Rattus norvegicus: one gene and its partners. The main gene of each other region encodes a partner of the protein of the gene in region 2 in a complex. Links are inferred from orthologs where the notes say so. Each region holds a gene or a part of one and is shown on either strand. Other genes may lie near its edges.

Region 1 (6,363 bases), on a different chromosome or scaffold from region 2:
GTAGCTGTCTTCAGACACACCAGAAGAGGGCATTGGATCCCATTACAGATGGTTGTGAGCCACCATGTGGTTTCTGGGAACTGAACTCAGGACCTCTGGAAGAGCAGTCAGTGCTCCTAACCGCTGAGCCATCTCTCCAGCCCACAGTACGTACTCTTAACCATCCAGCCATCTCTCTATCCCTTCCACTTTTCTTGTTTGAGACAGAGAGGGTCTGTGCCTGAATCTGTAACTTGTGATTTGGCTAGTCTGGCTGGCCAGCCAGCACAAGCCCCAGGGATTCTGTCTGCCTCTCTAGCAGCGGGATAGTTACACACAGTGACCATGTTTCATTACTTGTGGGTGTGAACTCTGGGGGAAGGATTGAACTTCGGAACCCATGCTTGTGCTGTAAGCACTTTATTGACTGGCACATCTCCCCAGCTCTCACTTGTGTTTTAACTCCTGTAGGCCTTGTATCAGTGTATTCATATTGGAAGAAATCATGGAGTTCATCATCAGAAAACATGGAAATTTTTTTTTTCGGAGCTGGGGATCGAACCCAGGGCCTTGTGCTTGCTAGGCAAGCGCTCTACTGCTGAGCTAAATCCCCAACCCCGAAAACATGGAAATTTAAAACTTTAACCACTCATAAAGCTCAGGCCTTCAGCTTGTGACATTCCGTAATCTTTATAAGCTTTTCTGGACCTTACTGTTCTGGCCAGTCATGGTTTGGGTGTTTTATCAATGGTTCCCCTCCCCCAAAGGTACCCAACCTAAGTTTAGCCTTTATCTGTACTATGTGGGTAACACAGAGCTGAGTTGGACACCTGCTCTCTCTGTAAGCCTTGTGGAGCTAACTGTCTGTTAACTAATAGATTGTGTAGAAGCTGAAAGAACTATAACTGGCAGCAGTAAAAAAAATGAAAATAAAATTTTGGTAGAATGACTCATCGTGAGCAGACATATTAATCCTTCTACACACTGAAAAATACAGTATCCACGTGACTCCCCCCTTCAGTCAGTAGTGTTCGTCTTCTATTTCCACCCCAGGTCCTAGAAGAATTACCAATGGATGGCTCTCACATGTTATGTATAAAACTCTGCGCCCTCCTCCCCACCACCAGTATGTTACTCTTGGCTACATAAAGATGTCTTCAATTATATTAATTTCTCTCCTAATTTAATTTCCCACAAAATACATTGGTTCAGGAATTTATCACGTTTCACATGCACAGCTTCCCTGCAAAAACCATGGGACGGCAGACGCACAGTTATTCCCCATGTTTGAAATGGACCTTTTCAATTCTCATGAATGTATCCTTCAAGCGGTGTACAATGTGCACCCTGAGCCTGCAGTTTTGGCCTCTGTGGGAATGTGTGAAAACTCAAACAGCACCCAATCTCACAAAACTGAGATCAGGAGCTCCCTGGATGGAGGATACAAAAGTTTTGTTTTGGTATTTCCTGGACAGCCTCTAGCACCGCCCAGAACCTGGCCATTTCCTCTGTACCTTCTAATGTCACAAATCTCCCGAGTGGGGCTTTCCTAGACCCGGAATACTTTCCTTTCTGGGAACCCTTTCCCAAGCAGCTGGGTTACTGCTGGTCAGGGCTCTCTGGCCACGCCCATGTCCTGGTCTCATTTTACTTTTTGGGTTCCGGTGGATGCCATCTGGCTAGAACCCTGGAGAGAAACTTTAAAGTTGGACTAGGGTTACCCTTACTCCCTTACACCCGTACTCATCAGCTCCCCTAGCTAATCTCTAAAAGCCCTGACTGGTTGGAGACCACCAGGAACAGGCAGAGGGAAATCGGGAAACGAGCATGCCTGTGTCCCCCTGGTGTAGGTCCCCAGCCTACGATCGGCCAGGGTCCAGTGTCCTGGGTCCAGTGTGAAGGCCGCGGTGCTGGGTTCGTTGGGGACTGACCTAGCGATGCAGCTGGCACGGAGCGGTACCCCAGGGCAGGGGAGCAAGAACAGCTTTCAGCCGGGTTGGGCGACCGAGTCCTGGCGGACACGGGAACGTAGGAGCGGCCCGGTTCGGCGCCTCCCGGCTCTGGGCTCCTCCTCCCGCCGGCCGCGGCCCCGGCTGCGTCGCTCCGCCACTCCCCGCCCCGCGCCGCCGCCCCGCCCTCGCCGCCGCCCGGCCTCGCTCGCCCAACCCCACTGCAAGCCGGCCCCAGGCCGCCTCGCCGCCACCCGGCCTCGCTGCGCGCCACCATGGACAGTCCCGTTTTCCCCTGGTAAAGATGGCGGTGCGCGATCGCTGCAACCTTTAGACTAATGACTGTCCGAAACATCGCCTCCATCTGTAATATGGTGAGTGGCCGCCGAGCCTCCGGGGGTCGCGCCCGCAGCGAGCCAGGCAAAGAAAGGGAACCCCGGGCTGGAGCTGCTCGCGCGCCGCGGTCGTGGGGGCCGCGCGGTCAGAAGTTCCCGGCTCTGAGGCTGGGCCAGCTGACCGCAGTCCCCCGCCTCTGTCCCAGCCGGGGACCCTGAAGGGATCCCAGGGATCCCCAGGGCAGCCCCATGCCCCCGCCCTCGAGTTGTGGTGCGGGCGGTGGGTGGGGGTGGAGGGTGCGAGGTGCCGCACACCGCTGTCCCGAGGGAGGACCATGAGGGTGCAAGCCTGGAGTGGGAGGAAGTAGATCCTCCTGGTGCAGTAAATAAACCCTTCCTGGACTCACGGACTGTCCTCTGCTCCTTTTTGGAGTTCAGCCTCGATTGTATTTAAGATTCACTTTGCAATAGCAGTGTTCTTACCAGGAGAAATCGGATAGACATAAAAAAATCCAAGTGAAGAATCTGGCTAGAGAAGCGAACTAAAACCTGGAAAGCACAGCAATTTGTTCTGGAGGCCTCAGTTTCCCCACCTGCATGCAGGAGATTGTAAGGCGGCAGTTAACGTTTGCAGGCCCTAGGAGTGAGGTGACTGTGGGTGTGAGGAAGTCTGCAGGGGTCATCCTGCCCCGCCTCCTCTCCATTTAGCTTGGGCACTGCCTCGCCTGTCTGAGGGGGGCGGGTGGGGGGGCGGGGAGTGTTACCCAGCGGTCACTTTAATTTGGAGTCCCCCCCCCCCCCAACTACCTTCCCGTTCTGTTTAGTTTCCTAGGGACCAGTTCCAACCTTTGGGTCCCCTGAGCGTACTCAGCTGGCACCCCCACTTGTGAGAGCCTCAGGGAGGTCAGTTTGGGGTCAGCATTACCTTTGGTGTGGGGCTTGAGGGTGTGTGCTCTGCCTGTACTCTCTGGATCCTCCTCTCCCTCCCGCTTCGAGCCCCTCCAAACTGGAACACTGCTGGCTGTTGGGTTTTGTTTGTTTGTTTTTGCCATTTTGGAGAACACCCTGCCACCAAGTTAGATAGTCATCCTAGCATACAAAGGGAATCTGAGGAGGTCTGATTAAGTAGGCCTTAGGTAAGGTGATCTGGCTGCCCTTCCCCCATCACACAGCTCTTTAAATCTTCTGTCCCACATTCTGTTGCAAGATCAACACATGGCACAGAGCATGAAGGAGCCATGTGTTAGCTCAGGTGGAGTTGAGACCTGCTGGGGCTGGCTCCAGCTTTCTGCGCTGGTCGCCAAGAGTGATGGTAACTGCCGGCTTGGTACAGGTCTCCTTAGATGACGGGGCCTGTCACCTTGCCATCTCCCCTTTCTGCTTGAAGACACAGGTTTCCTGCTTCTTCCTGTCCGGTGACATTAACGTGGCTGGATGCCCTGAGAAGACAGTGCATTTCTTCTCCGTGTCTCCGCCGTAACCAAGCTCATGTGGAGAACTAGGATACCACAGTAGTTTCAATGCTGTATCTCCTGCCTGTGGGGGTGGCCGCAGGCCTACAGCCTCCCGGGGGCTCAGTGCCTGCTCCTGGTTCTGCTCTTGTCCGGTTTGCTTTCAATGACACCTCTCAGTATTGAAGCCGAGTGGAAACCGGAGAGCAAGCCTGTCCCAAGAGGAAGTCTGCCTCCGGCTTGTTCTTGTCCTTACTGTGGCTAGGACTTCTTGGCACACCTGGACAGAATGTCACAACCTGTTTTCAGTGACACTCAGCCAGGGAGACAGGCTTCTGGGAGGACAGGAGAGGAATGGGCCAATATTGTGTCAGTAGAATAAACACTTCTGGTGACCAAGTTAATTCTCACCCACCCCACCCACCCACCCCATGTCCAATTGTGAAGTAAACCTAATATGTTTCTGTGTAGACACTGTCTTGGGCAAATGGAGAAATGTTTGCATTCTAATGTGAGACTCTAGGTTCGCTCCTGTTTTTGTACTTATTTGTGGGGCTCCTTAGCCCAGGTAGACCTCCAGCATGACATCGCCTGTAAGCACTAGATGACAGACAGAGGTGTTCTGCTCCATCCAGCTTTCAAGTCCCACCTCCAACACCGCTGCCTCGTGCCCTTGAGCACTTTGATAGTCTTTGCCTCAGCTTTCATTTGTAAAAATGGGCCCATAATGGCTGCAACCCAGGGGGGAGTTCCTGGGGTTCTGGGCCCGGTACGTGATAACTTCTCAGTGAGTGGCAGCGGCTGTGGTCAGTACCTTCTTTCTCTTACCTTCCAGTCTGTTTTAGGGGCTGTGAGAATTTGTCTTCTTCTCCTACTTGAGTATAAACAACCCATTGGGTCACTTAGGCAGAGCAAGCTGAATGACTCTGTGGAGGAGCTGGGGTGGGAACTGGAAATCCCGCCCCTTATAAAAGCCGCTCAGGTCACTTCTGCCCCTCCCATTGGCATTTCCCAGAGGAGCAGGCTGGTGCTCAGGAGACTGCTGTCTGTCTGTGCACAGCGGGATAAAGCCTTACTTGAGCATGAACTGTTTCCAGGTAGGTGTCTTCCGAGTCTCTCTGTCACTGGGTTTCTCGCTGAGCCTCTTTCTTGAGCTTTACAACTTTCTCCCTTTGCCCCAGCTGGTATGAGGAGCGGGGAGTACAGGCTGGGACCGCTTGTTTGCTTGTCGTTTGCTTATATTTATTTACTTGACACTGGGTGGCTCACAACCCGGCTTCATGTACTCTCCCACCGAGCAATATACCCAGGCTGCCTTTAGAAAAGTAGATATTTGGTCTATTTTAAACATCTTCTGGTGTATGTTCCGAAAGAGTGTTTAAAGGTATTCTCTTCTTGGGGAACACAAACCAAGATAGACCAAGATCTAGCCCTGAGAGACTGTCTCTTTTCCTCTATTGAAGGAGCTCCCAGGAGAGCTTAAATAATCCTGGAAGCAAGTCGTTCCTTCAGTAAGGTCTAAACACCCCCTTCCTTCTTCTTACCCCCCCCCCTCCACACACACACTGAGGTGCTTTGAAAGTTTAGACCTGGTTCACATTTAGTTCTTGTAAATGCCCTCCCTTAGCAATGCCCTATCAGCTCCCTTGGGGTGAGTCGATCTGACCACATGGCCGTGTGTGGTTGGAGATGGAAAAGCTCGTTTGGCTGGTGTGTTGTAATTTTTGAAAATGCCTCAGCTGCTACCAGGCCCAAGGAGATGTCCCCTGCTGATAATCCTCGGTTGTTTAGAGCCATGTATTCTGCTCACTCTCTGTGTTTCACCATCCTACAAATGGAAGGTATCACTTGTGCTTATGTGCTGTTTTGTTCCCTGTTTGAATTGAGGAATTTTCAAAAAGTGAAAAAAAAAAAAAAAAAGGAGCAAGTGTGACTTGTGCTGGTGTGAACTTGCCTAAGTCATTCTCTTCTTCATTTCATTTGTTAATAGTGCTGTTAAGATGTATTTGGGGGTGGGGGATGCTTGTATGAAGTAGTAGGTTTTGTGAGGGGCGGTGGAACATGTAATTTAGGGGTAGAATGCTTTGCTTAGCCGGTGGGAGGCTTGAGTCTCCAGCAGTGTGTGTGTGTGTGTGTGTGTGTGTGTGTGTGTGTGTGTGTGTGATATTGTACTGATGAATGACACACAGTGTTAGTGCTGGCACATACATACTATTTGCAGGTGTTTAATGGATGAGGATATAAGTCCGCACCCCTAGGAGCTCGGTCCTTAGCTGGTGGCCTCACGTTGGAAAAGACGAAACAGTTCCAATACAGTGTGATAACCGCAGAGACGGGTGTGAACCGGATCTTAGACGCAGGGAAGTGGTTGCCCCGATGAGTACTCTCAGACTCGTCCTGTAAGAGCCGCACACTTTCTGTGTGGGGTTCCTACTTTTCATGAGCACGTGATCGTAGTCAACACTAGTCGGAACTGGCCCTGTGGGACTGGGTTCATTCCATCCCGTGTTAACCTGCACCTAGCCAGTATGGTATTGGTAGCCTTTGGAAAACTATACATCTGGGACCTTAATTTTTCTCATCCTGCGCAATACAGTTTTGGTCCTTAGATGTTTCTTAGTGGATAGTATTTCTTAAAGTCTCTCCTCT
Region 2 (5,770 bases):
TTTAAAATGGTGTATGTTCCAAATTGGTTCTCAGTAGACCTAAAAACAGGGGTGAGTTAGGCAATCAGTATTTATGTGATTTTGGATAATTGAAAATTTCCTCCATGCCCTAATTATTCTTAAGGAGTTTGCTGTCCTTAAGACATTTGCTTGCCCCGTCTGTCTTAATATGCTGTCATGTAAGCCTGACTCTCGAGTAGAGCAAGCTGAAGCTGAATCCCAAGAGACATGGCTTAGCCTTGTCTAGTGCATGGATGGATGCTGCCGGGTCAGGTGCTGGAGAGGAGGGAGGGAGAGCAAGCTGCTAGCACTGTGTGTCCCTCCCCCCAACAGATGCTGACCATTACTCTGGATGAAAGCGACTGCTTCGCTGCCTGGGTTTCTGCGAAAGATGCTGGCTTCAGCAGTCCCGATGGGTCAGACCCAAAACGTGAGTTAAGTGTCTTCGATTGAAGAAGGTAGCTGGTCATCTTTGTAAGCGTCCCCCACACCGTGACTCTTACTGTCATTTGTTTGTTTTGCTTCAAGACAGGGTTTCTCTGTGTAGCTGTGTAGCCCTAGCTATCCTGGAACTCACTCTGTAAACCAGCTGGCCTGGAACTCAGAGATCCGCCTGCCTCTGCCTCTAGTGCTGAGATTACAGACGTGCATCTCCACTGCCCAAGTCACTCAGCACGCTTTTGAGAACTTGGTGTGTAACAATCCAACACGTACAAATACAAGGTTGCTGGCTTTGGGGAGAGTACCTGTGTCAATAGCAAACTGTTTTTGGTTTAAAGAATAGCTTCAACCAGACATGGCGGCTCAGGCCTCTGATCCCAGCCCTTAGGAGCCTTGAGGTCCAGGGCAGCCTTGCTGCAATGTAAACCCCCTGTCTCCACAAAAAGAACAGAGAAGGGTGACCGCTGAACAGCAGGGTAGTGTTTTCTCTGCAACTTCGATTCTGAGATTAAGCACTGAGACCTGCTTGTCTCTGGTCTTGGGGTTGAAGCCTATGGATGTGTGTTAGTTAGGGTTTCATTGAGGTGAAGAGACCACGTCAGCTCTTACAATTGGGTCAGACTTACAGTTTCAGAGGTTTCGTCCATTATCGTATCAGGAATGATGCCAGCGTGCAGGCAGGCACAGTACTAGAGGAATGGAGAGTTCTACATCTTCATCCACAGGCAGCAAGGAGAGACCGTGTGTGTCACACTGGGTGTAGCTTTTGCATAGGAAGTGTCAGAGCCTACCTCTACAGTGATGTACTTCTTCTAACAAGCCACACCTCCTACTAGTGCCACACTATTGGCCGGTGTTCAAATACATGGTGGGGGGATTCCTATTCAAATCACCACAGCATGTGTACCCCAGCGTGGTAGCACATGCCTCTAATCCCTGTACTTGGGAGTAGGAAGAAAGAAGATGAATCAAAGACCAGGCTGAATCACAAAGAAAAAAGAAAGTCGTAACAGTTTGGAAAGTGCCGATTCAAAAGCCACCAAACCTGTGTATATAACTTCTGTAAGGTGCTCACACATAATCCCCATCCTGAAAAGCACCTCTGCCTTTTTTTTTTTTTTTAAAGATTTATTTATTATATATGAGTACACTGTAGCTGTCTTCAGACACACCAGAAGAGGGCATTAGATCTTATTACAGATGGTTGTGAGCCACCATGTGGTTGCTGGGATTTGGACTCAGGACCTCTGGAAGAGCAGCCGGTGCTCTTAACCCTGAGCCATCTCTCCAGCCCACACCTCTGCCTTCAAGTGTCCATAACTGCCCTGTTTGTACCCTGCCCTGCTGGATAATTTTGCTTCTCAAGAAAACAGATGCAGCATGAGAACATTGACAGCTTCTGTCTTAGGTTGGAGCTAACAAACTGTCTCCGTTTCTCCTCTCACCCACAGTGAACTTAGGAGGACTTCTACTACAGGCCCTCCTGGAGTACTGGCCCAGAACACATGTGACTCCCATGGACGAGGAGGAGAATGAAGTGAACCATGGTTAGTGTGTCTGTTTGTTCAGAAAAGTGACAGTTGTGTGGGCCAAGGGGTACTTACTGTAGTGTACAGAAGTCTGACACAGCTGTGGTGTGCCCAGTTAATTGTTCTTTCCTACATCTGAATGAGAGTATCCAGTATTGCAAAGGATGAGGCCACTTTGGGATGTGGCTCTCAGATAGAAGAAGCCCCATGTGTGATATTCAAAAATCACCGGTTTATGGGTGGTCATAGATCCTCCCAAGTGCTAGGTGGCGCCATTGTGCTCAGGTTCAGGGAGCTGAGGACTGGGAGGGGCTGTGTGTCAGCTCAGGCACTGGGTCAACTACATTTATTTCTTGTATTAAAGCCCTCCTGGGGGCTCCTTTGGGGGCTGTGTCTCACTGTGAGCAGGTACTGGACTTCTGATGAGATTCTCTGCTCTTACATATTAAATACCATTCTTACTTGTTCTAAACCTTTATTATTTTTTAATATTAAAACATTTTATGTTTATGCCAGTTAAGTGGGGTGCATGTGAAAGCCAGACAGGGGCACCAGATCTCCTGGACTGAACTCGGGTCCTCTGAAGAGCCCTCAGTCCTCCGTTCCAGCTTCCTCCACCCAGCTTTCTAATGCTGACCAAGGAGCAGGGTTTTGATTTAAATGTTTCTTTAGATTTGTTCATTTTTATTTGATGTATATCAGTTTTCCTGCGTGTATATAAGGGCAACACTTATGGGCCTAGTGCCCATGGAGGCTAGAAAGGGTGTTGAATACCCTGGAACTAGGGTTAGAGATGGTTGTAAGCCACTTTGTAGTACTGGGAACTAAACCTTGGTCCTCTAGAAGAGCAGCCAGTGCTCTAACCGCTGAACCATCACTCCAGCCCCAGGATTTTTTATTTTTAAAATGTTGGAATGTTTACAGCCTTTGTGGTCAGTATTCAGAAGCTTTGGTCCCAACATTAACAGCCTGCCTATCTTTCCAGTGAGTGGGGAACAGGAGAGCCGAGTCCAGAAAGGAAATGGCTATTTCCAGGTGCCCCCCCACACCCCCGTGATCTTTGGAGAAGCTGGAGGTCGCACACTTTTCAGGTATGGATAAGAAAGACTAGAACCCTGCCTAGAAAGGCCTTGCTTAATAAGCCAACCCTCTTGATAGAAATGCTGCCCAGGGGGTTGGGGATTTAGCTCAGTGGTAGAGCGCTTGCCTAGGAAGCACAAGGCCCTGGGTTTGGTCCCCAGCTCCGAAAAAAAGAACCAAAAAAATAAATAAATAAATAAAAAATGCTGCCCAGACAGACATGTCATCTCCTTGAGATACTTAATGCCTGGTGCAGTGAATGTTAATAACGAAGGGCCAAGGTGAGATTCACACGCACACACACGTGCGCACCCACACAGATACCCTGCCCCATCCCAGATGCCTGCCTCTCTTACTTTGCCAGTGTGGCTAACTGCCAGAGGCAGGAATCAAATGGCGTCAGAGCAGTCCCTGGTCATGGGAGACTGGGCCAGGCAAGAGGGTGAGGCTGATCCTGCAAACTGTTGTGATCTATACTGGTTCAGCCTGGGGTGAGGGAGATGCTCTCTGGCCCTCCAGGGAAGGGGAGGCTTCAGGCAAGCCCTGAAGGAGCAGGGAAGTGTTGCAGCATCACTGGGTGTGGGAAGTGAGGGTGATGCCTGCCTTTCCCCTGAGCACAGACTTTCTTCTGTTGTGATCTTCGGAGCAAGGTAACCAAACTGCAGCCCTCACTGCAGCTGAAGTCTGGGCCATGCCTGGCCCTGGCTAGGCCCTTGGCTGAGTGTTTCTTGTAGTGACCCAGGACTCAGAAGCGGCTTGATCGGGCCCAAGTCTCCCTACTCCCCCATCACCTCTGCTGTCCTCAATGAGCGCTGTGAGGGCTCCTCTGCTGTCCCCCTGCTTGTCATGACACTGACCACCTGATGGATTGTGTCTAGGCTGCTCTGCCGGGACTCCGGGGGCGAGACCGAGGCAATGCTTCTCAATGAGACCGTGCCACAATGGGTGATCGACATCACTGTGGATGTAAGTATCCTTCACTCCCGCTTTGCCCTTTGCTTTCCCTGGACCATGACATTAAGTCTTAAACTGTGACAAAAGTCACCGGCTAAGTAGAATCCTCTCTGCGTTCCTGAAGTTCCAAAGTTGTAGACACATCTGATAGTTATTTACATATCAACTTTTATCTTTGTCTGGTTTCAGTCAGAACAATAATGTATGCTTATTCTACAACGTAATCAGTGCCCACCTCTTCCCACCCACCCTCTTCACCCTTCCCAGCCCTCTTCTCAGAGGGGGAACCCAGTAGGAAGTCACCTACACGAGCACTTACTATTGTGTGCAGATATAAGTGTGGAGTTCATTTAATTTTGCACAAAATCTCTTACAGTGTTCTGCAACTTCTTTTTTTTTTTTACTTAAAAATATGTCTTGGACATCTGTTCAGACCTGTGCTCAGGGACTGTTCCCTTTTAAGGACTGCACCTTATTCTGTTGTGTAAATGATCAGCCCCTTCTTAATGGGCCCAGGTAGTTTGCATTGTTTGCATTTGCAAACAGTGCTTCCTGAACGTCTTTGTACATGTGTCTCTGTGTATTTTAGGGTAAATTCTTACAGTGAAATTGCTGGATCAAAGGGTCTGACATTTTAAATCTGGATAGATATGCGAATTGCCCTTTCACAAAGGCAGTGTGCTCTGCACCGACAGTGTATGGACACCTGATTGTCACAGCCACACCGACACCAGACACTTGCCCTTTGCTGAGCCGTCATCAAATACTGTGCGGTGTTTCAGTGTGGATGTGTCCTTATTCGTGGTGAGGTCAGGAGTCTTTTCACACTGACCGTTTCTCTCTGTGACCTGCCTGTCTGTGTCCTTTGCCACTTCTCCAACTGGGTCATCGTCTCACTCACTCACTCACTCACTCACTCACTCACTCACTCACTCACTCACTCACAGGTGATCTTCTGTTGCCAATTAACCTGACTCCTCTCTGCCTTCATTAAACATTTACTTTGTTCAAGGTTTTCTCCCAGGGGAAACCTTAACTTTTGTATAATCAGATTGAGGTTTTGTAGCTCTGGTTCCATGTTTTATTGGATATCTCCCAATTCAGAGTGTCCTCACTACGCTCTGCACCTTGTTGTTTACTGTCCGCCTCGTTACTGTTATTCAGTCTTCTGTTGGCTGTGAGGTGACATTTTAACTTTTCCCAGAGAACTAAGCTGTGTACCAGTGTAGTCTGTAGGGGTCTGTCCTGTCTACTATTTGAATTCTACACTGTCTGTATAGTGCATTCCTGCAGACAGGACTTTCTTGACTGTTCGTATACTCCTAAAGCCATAGAAAAAGGACTTAATTTCCTGAAACTTTAGAAAATGTGTTTTCTACTCCAGATACACTCCAAGAACTTAGAACTAGTGTGACTGACACTTGTTGGTCTTCCTGTGGTCTTCCTGTGCAGACTCCCATAATCCACTGCTTCTTTTGAGTGTAGAACTCATCTGGTGCATTAGTGAGTGACCCAATAACTTGGGCTATGCTCCAAGAAAAGCTGGCTGGACCATTTCAGCCATCAGTTGAGAATGGGTAATGTTTTCAGGGTAGACTCCCCCTATCAGAGGATGAGACAGATGGCAGAAGGCCGGTGGCCTCTCCACTGGATGATGGGCCCACCAGTACCCAAGTGTCTGCTCAGAAGTGAATGTTCTGGGGCTTTCTCAAAACACTTAAACTTCTGTTGGGGCCATTAGTCATAGCCCTGATATTTTGATATAT
Region 3 (6,386 bases), on a different chromosome or scaffold from region 2:
AAGTGGCATCCACATTAGGGCTTCTAGGTGATCCCAATAATTGTAAATCTTCATATGCCTTGGGCTGGGGGTTATGACTCAGTGGAAGAGTGCTTACTTAACATGTATTATTTGGCCCTTGGGTTTTATTCCCTGAACATGCATACATGCACATACATGCACAACATATTCCTTGAAGAAAAAATAGAACACAAAAATATATCAAAATAGCCAACTGTGAAAAATGTAAAAGACCTACTTGCTACTTACCCCTGAAAGTAAATTCTGGTTCCCTAGAACAAGGGCTAAAGATGCCTATTGTGTTTGTTTGCTTTATTGAAACAAATTCTCAACCCTCCCAAGCCAGCATACAGGGCAAGTTATTAGCTCTATTTTAAAATCAGAAATTAGAACCACAAAAGTTACTATTATTAGGCCTTCCTGGTGACACACACCTAAAATCCTAGAAATTGAAAGGGTCAGTCAAGGAGAATCAGGAGCTTAAAATCAACCTCTGCTTTGCCCAGTTTAAGGCCAGCCCGGTCTATATGAGACCTTATCAAATAAAAAGTCACATATTCAGAACGACAGCAGATACAAACTCACTCATAGAAAGAAAAACTTTAACTCACTAGCTAGAGGAATTTAAATATCTGCCACAATACAAATATATCCTACAACATACATAGCATTTTACACACACACATCTCCCAAAGTTCAAAGCACTCAAAATCAGCAGGGAAAGGCAATTTATATGCATTTCTGACTTGGTTTTGGGGGGGTGGATGGGAGCTTTTTGGTTTTGTTTTGGAGACAGGCTTCTCTGTGTAGTCCTGGCAGTCCTGGAACTCACTCTGTAGACCAGGCTGGCCTCAAGATCCACCTGCCTCTGAGCCCAAATGCTGGAATTAATTAAGCAAGCCACCACCACCACCTGGCAGCATTTCAGACTTCTTTTAAAGAATGTTTGGTGTAGTTTTTAAAACTCTTTGTTTGTTTGGTTCTTTTTTTTTTTTTTTTCAGAGCTGGGGACCGAACCCAGGGCCTTGCGCTTCCTAGGCAAGCGCTCTACCACTGAGCTAAATCCCCAACCCCTGTTTTTAAAACTCTTAAAACACCATTATAGGGGCTGGGGATTTAGCTCAGTGGTAGAGCGCTTACCTAGGAAGCGCAAGGCCCTGGGTTCGGTCCCCAGCTCCGAAAAAAAAGAACCAAAAAAAAAAAAAAAAAAAAAAAAAAAAAAACCATTATAAAGATACTTCTAAGCACCTTTTTTTGTATGCAAACCAGAGCTACTAGATCCAGATGAAGTGTGTCATGAGAATGATACAAAATTGCCTGGGCTCCCTGGCCACAATGGGGGGGGGGGGGGCAAGAAACAAAAATGGGGGATAGGAAGTGATGACTGAACTAGTAATAGTAATCACTAGGAGTAAATTTAACTTTTTAAAGTTTATTATTTATTTATTTATACACATATATGTGAATGCCACATGTACGCAGGTACCCAAAGAGGTTTGAAGAGGGCTGTAACTACAGGTGTCTGTGAGCTGCCTGAAGTAAGAGATGGGATCTAGGTTCAGAAGAACACCAGGTACTCTTTAACTACTGAGCCCTCTTCCAGGCCCCACAAATTTAACTTCTAAGCACATTGTATTTTTACATCATCACTATTTTTGTCTTTTTGGTTTTAGATTGAGGGAGTTGTTTTTTGAAACAGGTTCTTACTATGTAGTCCTAGCTGGCCTGAAACTCTATGTAGGGCAGGCTGGTCTTGAACTCAGAGATCCACCTGTCAAGATGCATGCTACCACACCCACCTGGTTTTGGATTTTTTTTTTCTTGAGAGAGGGCCCCACCATATAGCCCGTGCTTGCCTCAGATGTGCTAACTGTAGCACAGGTTGGCCCTGAACTTGCCAACTATAGTCCTGGCTAGCCACAATTTGAGTGCTAGGATTGCGGTATACACAACCATGGTAGGGTCTAATTATACTTTTCTAAGATTTCTTTTATTTTTAAACTTATTGTGTGAGCTGTAAGTGGGTACCCAGAACCCAGAAAAGGACATGCGATTCCCCGGAGCTTGAGTTTCAGGCAGTTGTGAGCAGCCTGACATGGGTGCTGGGAACTGAACTGGAGTCCTCTGCAAGAGCAGCACAAGTCAATAACCACTGAGCCTTTGCTCCAGCCCCTAAAGGTAGGTGTTGGTAACATTTATTTCCAGAGAAAAGTCTGCTGTTTCAGACAGAGCAGGCATGTTGAGATGGCAGCTGCTCCCTAAGCTTGCTTTAACTGTAATTTACATCTCCTGAGTGTGTCAGGACTCTAATGCCATTACTGCCATTACTGCCATTACGAATTACAACATGTGCACTGCAGCCCTCCCTTTTTAAAGAGGCGCAAAGTAAAGTTTCCCACATATCCAAGGTCACCAATGAGTCAGTAACAGAGTTGGGAGCAGCACTAAAACTTCAGTTCCTACACTTCAAACCACTGGATACTTTCCTAATCCCAAGAGAGAGAGAGAAAGAGGAGTCAGCCAGCTATTTTCAAACACTTGGTTAGTACACTGACAAGAATAAAGACAAGTCAGAAGATCACCTTGGGCCAAAGAAACAAGCTACGTTTGCATACCATACCATTGTCCCTTTCCTTGTCCTCCTAACCTACACAGTACAGCGTAAAAAAAGCAGCTGATCTATTCATCCCTGGGAACATGTCCTCTTCAATATGGACAACTCACTTCCCCACTATCTCAACATTTATAAGTGAATCTTCCATCACCTTGTCACCTTCTGTCGGAAGTGCTATGGAGTGCGTTCATTTCCTCACTCTCTCAATGGTCAAAAGTTAAAATAAGCAGTTCTTGGAACATAGTTATATTGCCAATGACAAAAAAAAAAGCGCCAATAAATTGCTTTTAACGAGATATTTTAAAACTCGATGGCATGCGTCACAGAATTACTGTTAAGTTCTTGGCTGGTTACTTAAAGTAGCATTTAAGGCCTATCCCTCCCTGTTTGGGACATAGCCTGACTTGTTAGACAAGATAAATCTAGGCACGCTCACACAGAACACCTCTGAAGCAACTTAGCTTATTGAAAACATTATTTCAACCTCCCTAGTCTGAGTACTCAGCCCTATTATACTACAAGGGACAGAATGACCCTCTTCAAAAATCTTTCGGGAGAAGGTTCCTTCCGCGGAGACAATGACAGCCTTCCTCCCGGGAAGGTTTTTGGAAACAGTGCTGACACCAGGAGAAGTGTCAGTGCGGCAGCAGGTGGAGTAGCCCTGCGTGCCGAGCAGGTCCTTTCTGACCTAGTCTCCAAGTCCTCCGCCTCCCTGTCCCGGTTCCGCCTTACGGACCTTTCCAAGCCTCCTCGCGTCCCGGTTCTCTCACCCAGGGCAGGACTCTCGAGCCTCCCGGGAAGCGAGGCCACCTAAGACGGCCGCCGTATCTCTTCCGGGGACTCGCAGGCCCGCTCCCTGTCGGTATCGGAACCTGACGGACCCCTCCGGGGAGAGGCGACCGGCTACTCCCGGGGCATCCCCGCGACCCGGTTCCAGAGCCCCCTCCCCTTCGAGGCAGCGCTGCCGCCGGCGCCTCACTCCTAAACACCCTCTCCTCCACTCAGAGTACCTCAACGGAGTTACCGGCCCACTCAAAAGTACAAGTGCCGGCCGCCCCCACCGGTCACCCCGGCCTCGCTGTCACCGCCCAGCTCCCGGCCTCGGCCGGCACCGCCGGCGTGCCCCCGGTGACGCCCGGGTCGGTACCTTGCGGACCCCCTTGTAGATATAGAAGTAGAGCTCCCGGCCCACATTGAAGCAGAGGCGGTCGCCGTTGCCAGACTGGTCGTTGAGGTTTACGAAGGAGACGCGGACAGGGTTGGATCCCTGCGAGTTGAAGGGCACCCGGTTGGGCCGGCTGTACTCCGAGTGCGGCAGCAGCTTGTACAGACCTTCCCGGGTGGTGAATTGGGTCTTAATCTCGTTCATCTCCTTCCCTCCTCCCTCCGTCGCCATCTTGGAAAGCAGCGTTCATCCTGCCCTAAGTGCCCGGATCACGCCCACCGCGCAGGCGCCGTCCTCGGCCGCTCGCTCTCCACTCCCCACCCCCTTCTTCGCGGCCCCGCCCATTGGCGAGCCAGCCCCCATGAAGGCGGGCCGAAGCGAAAGGGGCGGGCCAGTTTACAGTCTAAGTGCGCACGCGCGCTCACCTGGCGCGCTCCACCCCGAGGGGCGTGCGCCAAACTCCGCCCCCTGGGTGCCGCCCTCTGAGTGCTGGTGGAAGCGCGCGTGCCGAGCATTGGTGCAGGAACCGGTCTGCACCAAGGTGAATCTCTTTCTGCAGCTTCGCTGAGAGACCCTTTCCCTAAGGGAGGGCCCCGCCTTGACCTCGGCCGGCTGCTGGTCCCGGCGAAGCCTGAGGCGAGCAGTGAAGTCCGGTGTTTGGACCTGTGCGTCCCAGCTGTACGCGATCCTCCCTTGGAAGCTGAGGAGGACTCAGACAGTCCGGTTGGGTGCTGGGTGCTAAGACGCTCTACGCTTCCCAAAAACAGTCTCACAGAAGATATCGAAGGATTGAGCTTTATTACCCCTCACGGTTTTGTTTTGTTTTGTTTTGAAGGCGGGGTGGGAAGAACAGCTTAAATGTGTTTCCAAGTCTCATCTGAAACCTCACGTGAGCGTTGGCTTGTTCTTGAGAAAGTAGGTTGTGTTAGAACTTAAGTCTCCTTTGCCGCTTAAGAAAGGTAGAGCTAGCTGACTTTTCTAAAGCCTCAAACGGAACCTGAAATTATTTGCTAGGAGAACCATATCGTTGTAACGAATGTTCTGTACAAAGTCTATTTAGACTATTTAGACTTTAGAAAGGACAAGCATACTCTCATTAAAGTAGAACTAAACAGTCAGCATTTGATGCATCGATTTCTAGGTATGTGCACTGGAATACGAAGGCTTCTAAAGTAATAAACGTTACAATAGAATTCTAGAATAGGGAAAAATGATAGACGAAGAATGAACTATCCCTGAGAAGTCATGTCTGTAGAGCGGAAAATAAGTGGAGCGAGCCCAGTGGGGGGCACCTGTGCTTCCAGACAGAAGTGCCTGAGCCCAGAGAGGGTGGGAGGCGGCTACCTGAGCCCACAGAGCAACACTCCAACCTCACAAAAATTAATTTGTACACAAGAGAGGAGTGTTCTAAAGGAGGTAAATCATAACCATTTTATGTAGTGGGAAGCAAGTACATAAACAGTAGAAACTGTGCCAATGATGTAATAATGCATTTGACACTTACATCCTATAGCTTTCATACATGCCAGCAAAAACAAAATAGCACTACCACAATTTTTTTTTTTGAGACAGTATTTCACTAAATAGCCCTGGCTGTCCTGGAACTCAATAGGAGACCAAATCCACCTGCCTCTGACTCCAAGTTAAAGATATGAACCACACACCCTGTTTAAAATGCTTTTGGGGCTGGGGTTGTTTGTTTTTTTGTTTTTGTTTTTAAGGCAGGGTTTCTTTGTGTACCCCTGGCTCTCTGGAGACTATCTGTAGATCAGGTGGTCCTCAAACTCTCAGAGATCTGCCTGCCTCTGCCTCTTGAGTTCTGGGATCAAAATTGTGTGCCACCACCGCCCTGCTTTAAATACATCTGCTTAATACATCCCCAGATTGCACTTTACATTTCATTTTGTTATTTGCCTTTTCCTAAAATACAAATATGGATCAGAACTCTTAAAAATACTAGGATATGTTCAGTGGAAAACCCCAATCTCCTATAGCTACGTTATTTTGTACAAACGTGTTTATAATGGTCATATTGAGGGCTAAGTAACAGCTCGAATTATCTAAAAAAATTTCAATTTGGATTTTTTTTTTTCGGAGCTGGGGACCGAACTCAGGGCCTTGCGCGCTTGCTAGGCAAGCGCTCTACCACTGAGCTAAATCCCCAACCCCCCCTTTTTTTTTTAAGATTTATTTATGGGGGTTGGGGATTTAGCTCAGTGGTAGAGCGCTTGTCTAGCAAATGCAAGGCCCTGGGTTCGGTCCCCAGCTCTGAAAAAAAGAAAAAAAAAGATTTATTTATGTATGTGAGTATACTGTTTCAGACACACCAGAAGGGGACATCATATCCCATTACAGATATTTGTGAGCCACCATGTGGTTGCTAGGAATTGGACTCAGGACCTCTAGAAGAGCAATCAGTGCTCTTAACCACTGAGCCATCCCTTCAGCCCTTAGATTAGATTTCTAGTTAATAGGGGAAACTATACTTTGGGAGGGGGAACCTCAGCAAGTAAAAACTGAAACAAAAAACAATTTGTTGACCTCCAACCATAATATTCAATTTCCCATGAGACCAATACACCACTGGGTATGGTGGCATTCAGGAGG

What was found.
Region 1: the proteins of Wdr48 (region 2) and Usp46 are in contact, whole or in part, in a crystal structure (PDB 6JLQ), measured with the Homo sapiens proteins. The link is inferred for Rattus norvegicus from reciprocal best matches to the Homo sapiens genes WDR48 and USP46. Residues at the interface, in NP_065890.1 of Homo sapiens: Arg50, Trp77, Asp118, Tyr119, Lys121, Leu137, Arg139, Ser170, Tyr172, Thr188, Asp211, Asn212, Lys214, Ser230, Gly254, Trp256, Arg272, Ile364, Leu424, Lys425, Gly521; in NP_073743.2 of Homo sapiens: Arg181, Leu183, Asn184, Cys185, Glu186, Thr187, Cys222, Ser223, Glu224, Lys226, Cys232, Cys233, Ser234, Lys235, Gln236, Glu237, Gln239.
Region 3: the proteins of Wdr48 (region 2) and Wdr20 are in contact, whole or in part, in a crystal structure (PDB 5K1C), measured with the Homo sapiens proteins. The link is inferred for Rattus norvegicus from reciprocal best matches to the Homo sapiens genes WDR48 and WDR20. Residues at the interface, in NP_065890.1 of Homo sapiens: Val191, Lys207, Gly208, Gly240, Gln241, Gln242, Arg243, Cys244, Ile245; in NP_653175.2 of Homo sapiens: Arg20, Ser364, Thr384, Glu385, Asp386, Glu524, Pro525, Leu526.

Annotation. Positions count from the first base shown.
Region 1 is NC_086032.1:34,501,960-34,508,322, forward strand, and holds the start of Usp46 (ubiquitin carboxyl-terminal hydrolase 46), read left to right. Parts: upstream 1-2,190; 5' UTR 2,191-2,266; coding exon 2,267-2,302; intron 2,303-4,631; exon of another isoform or gene 4,632-4,796; coding exon of another isoform or gene 4,797-4,811; intron 4,812-6,363. UniProt on the Homo sapiens protein: Deubiquitinating enzyme that plays a role in behavior, possibly by regulating GABA action. May act by mediating the deubiquitination of GAD1/GAD67.
Region 2 is NC_086026.1:128,522,920-128,528,689, forward strand, and holds part of Wdr48 (WD repeat-containing protein 48), read left to right. Parts: coding exon 1-51; intron 52-333; coding exon 334-430; intron 431-1,892; coding exon 1,893-1,988; intron 1,989-2,955; coding exon 2,956-3,061; intron 3,062-3,928; coding exon 3,929-4,016; intron 4,017-5,770. UniProt on the Homo sapiens protein: Regulator of deubiquitinating complexes, which acts as a strong activator of USP1, USP12 and USP46. Enhances the USP1-mediated deubiquitination of FANCD2; USP1 being almost inactive by itself.
Region 3 is NC_086024.1:135,571,000-135,577,385, reverse strand, and holds the start of Wdr20 (WD repeat-containing protein 20), read right to left. Parts: upstream 4,141-6,386; 5' UTR 4,011-4,140; coding exon 3,762-4,010; intron 1-3,761. UniProt on the Homo sapiens protein: Regulator of deubiquitinating complexes. Activates deubiquitinating activity of complexes containing USP12. Anchors at the base of the ubiquitin-contacting loop of USP12 and remotely modulates the catalytic center of the enzyme.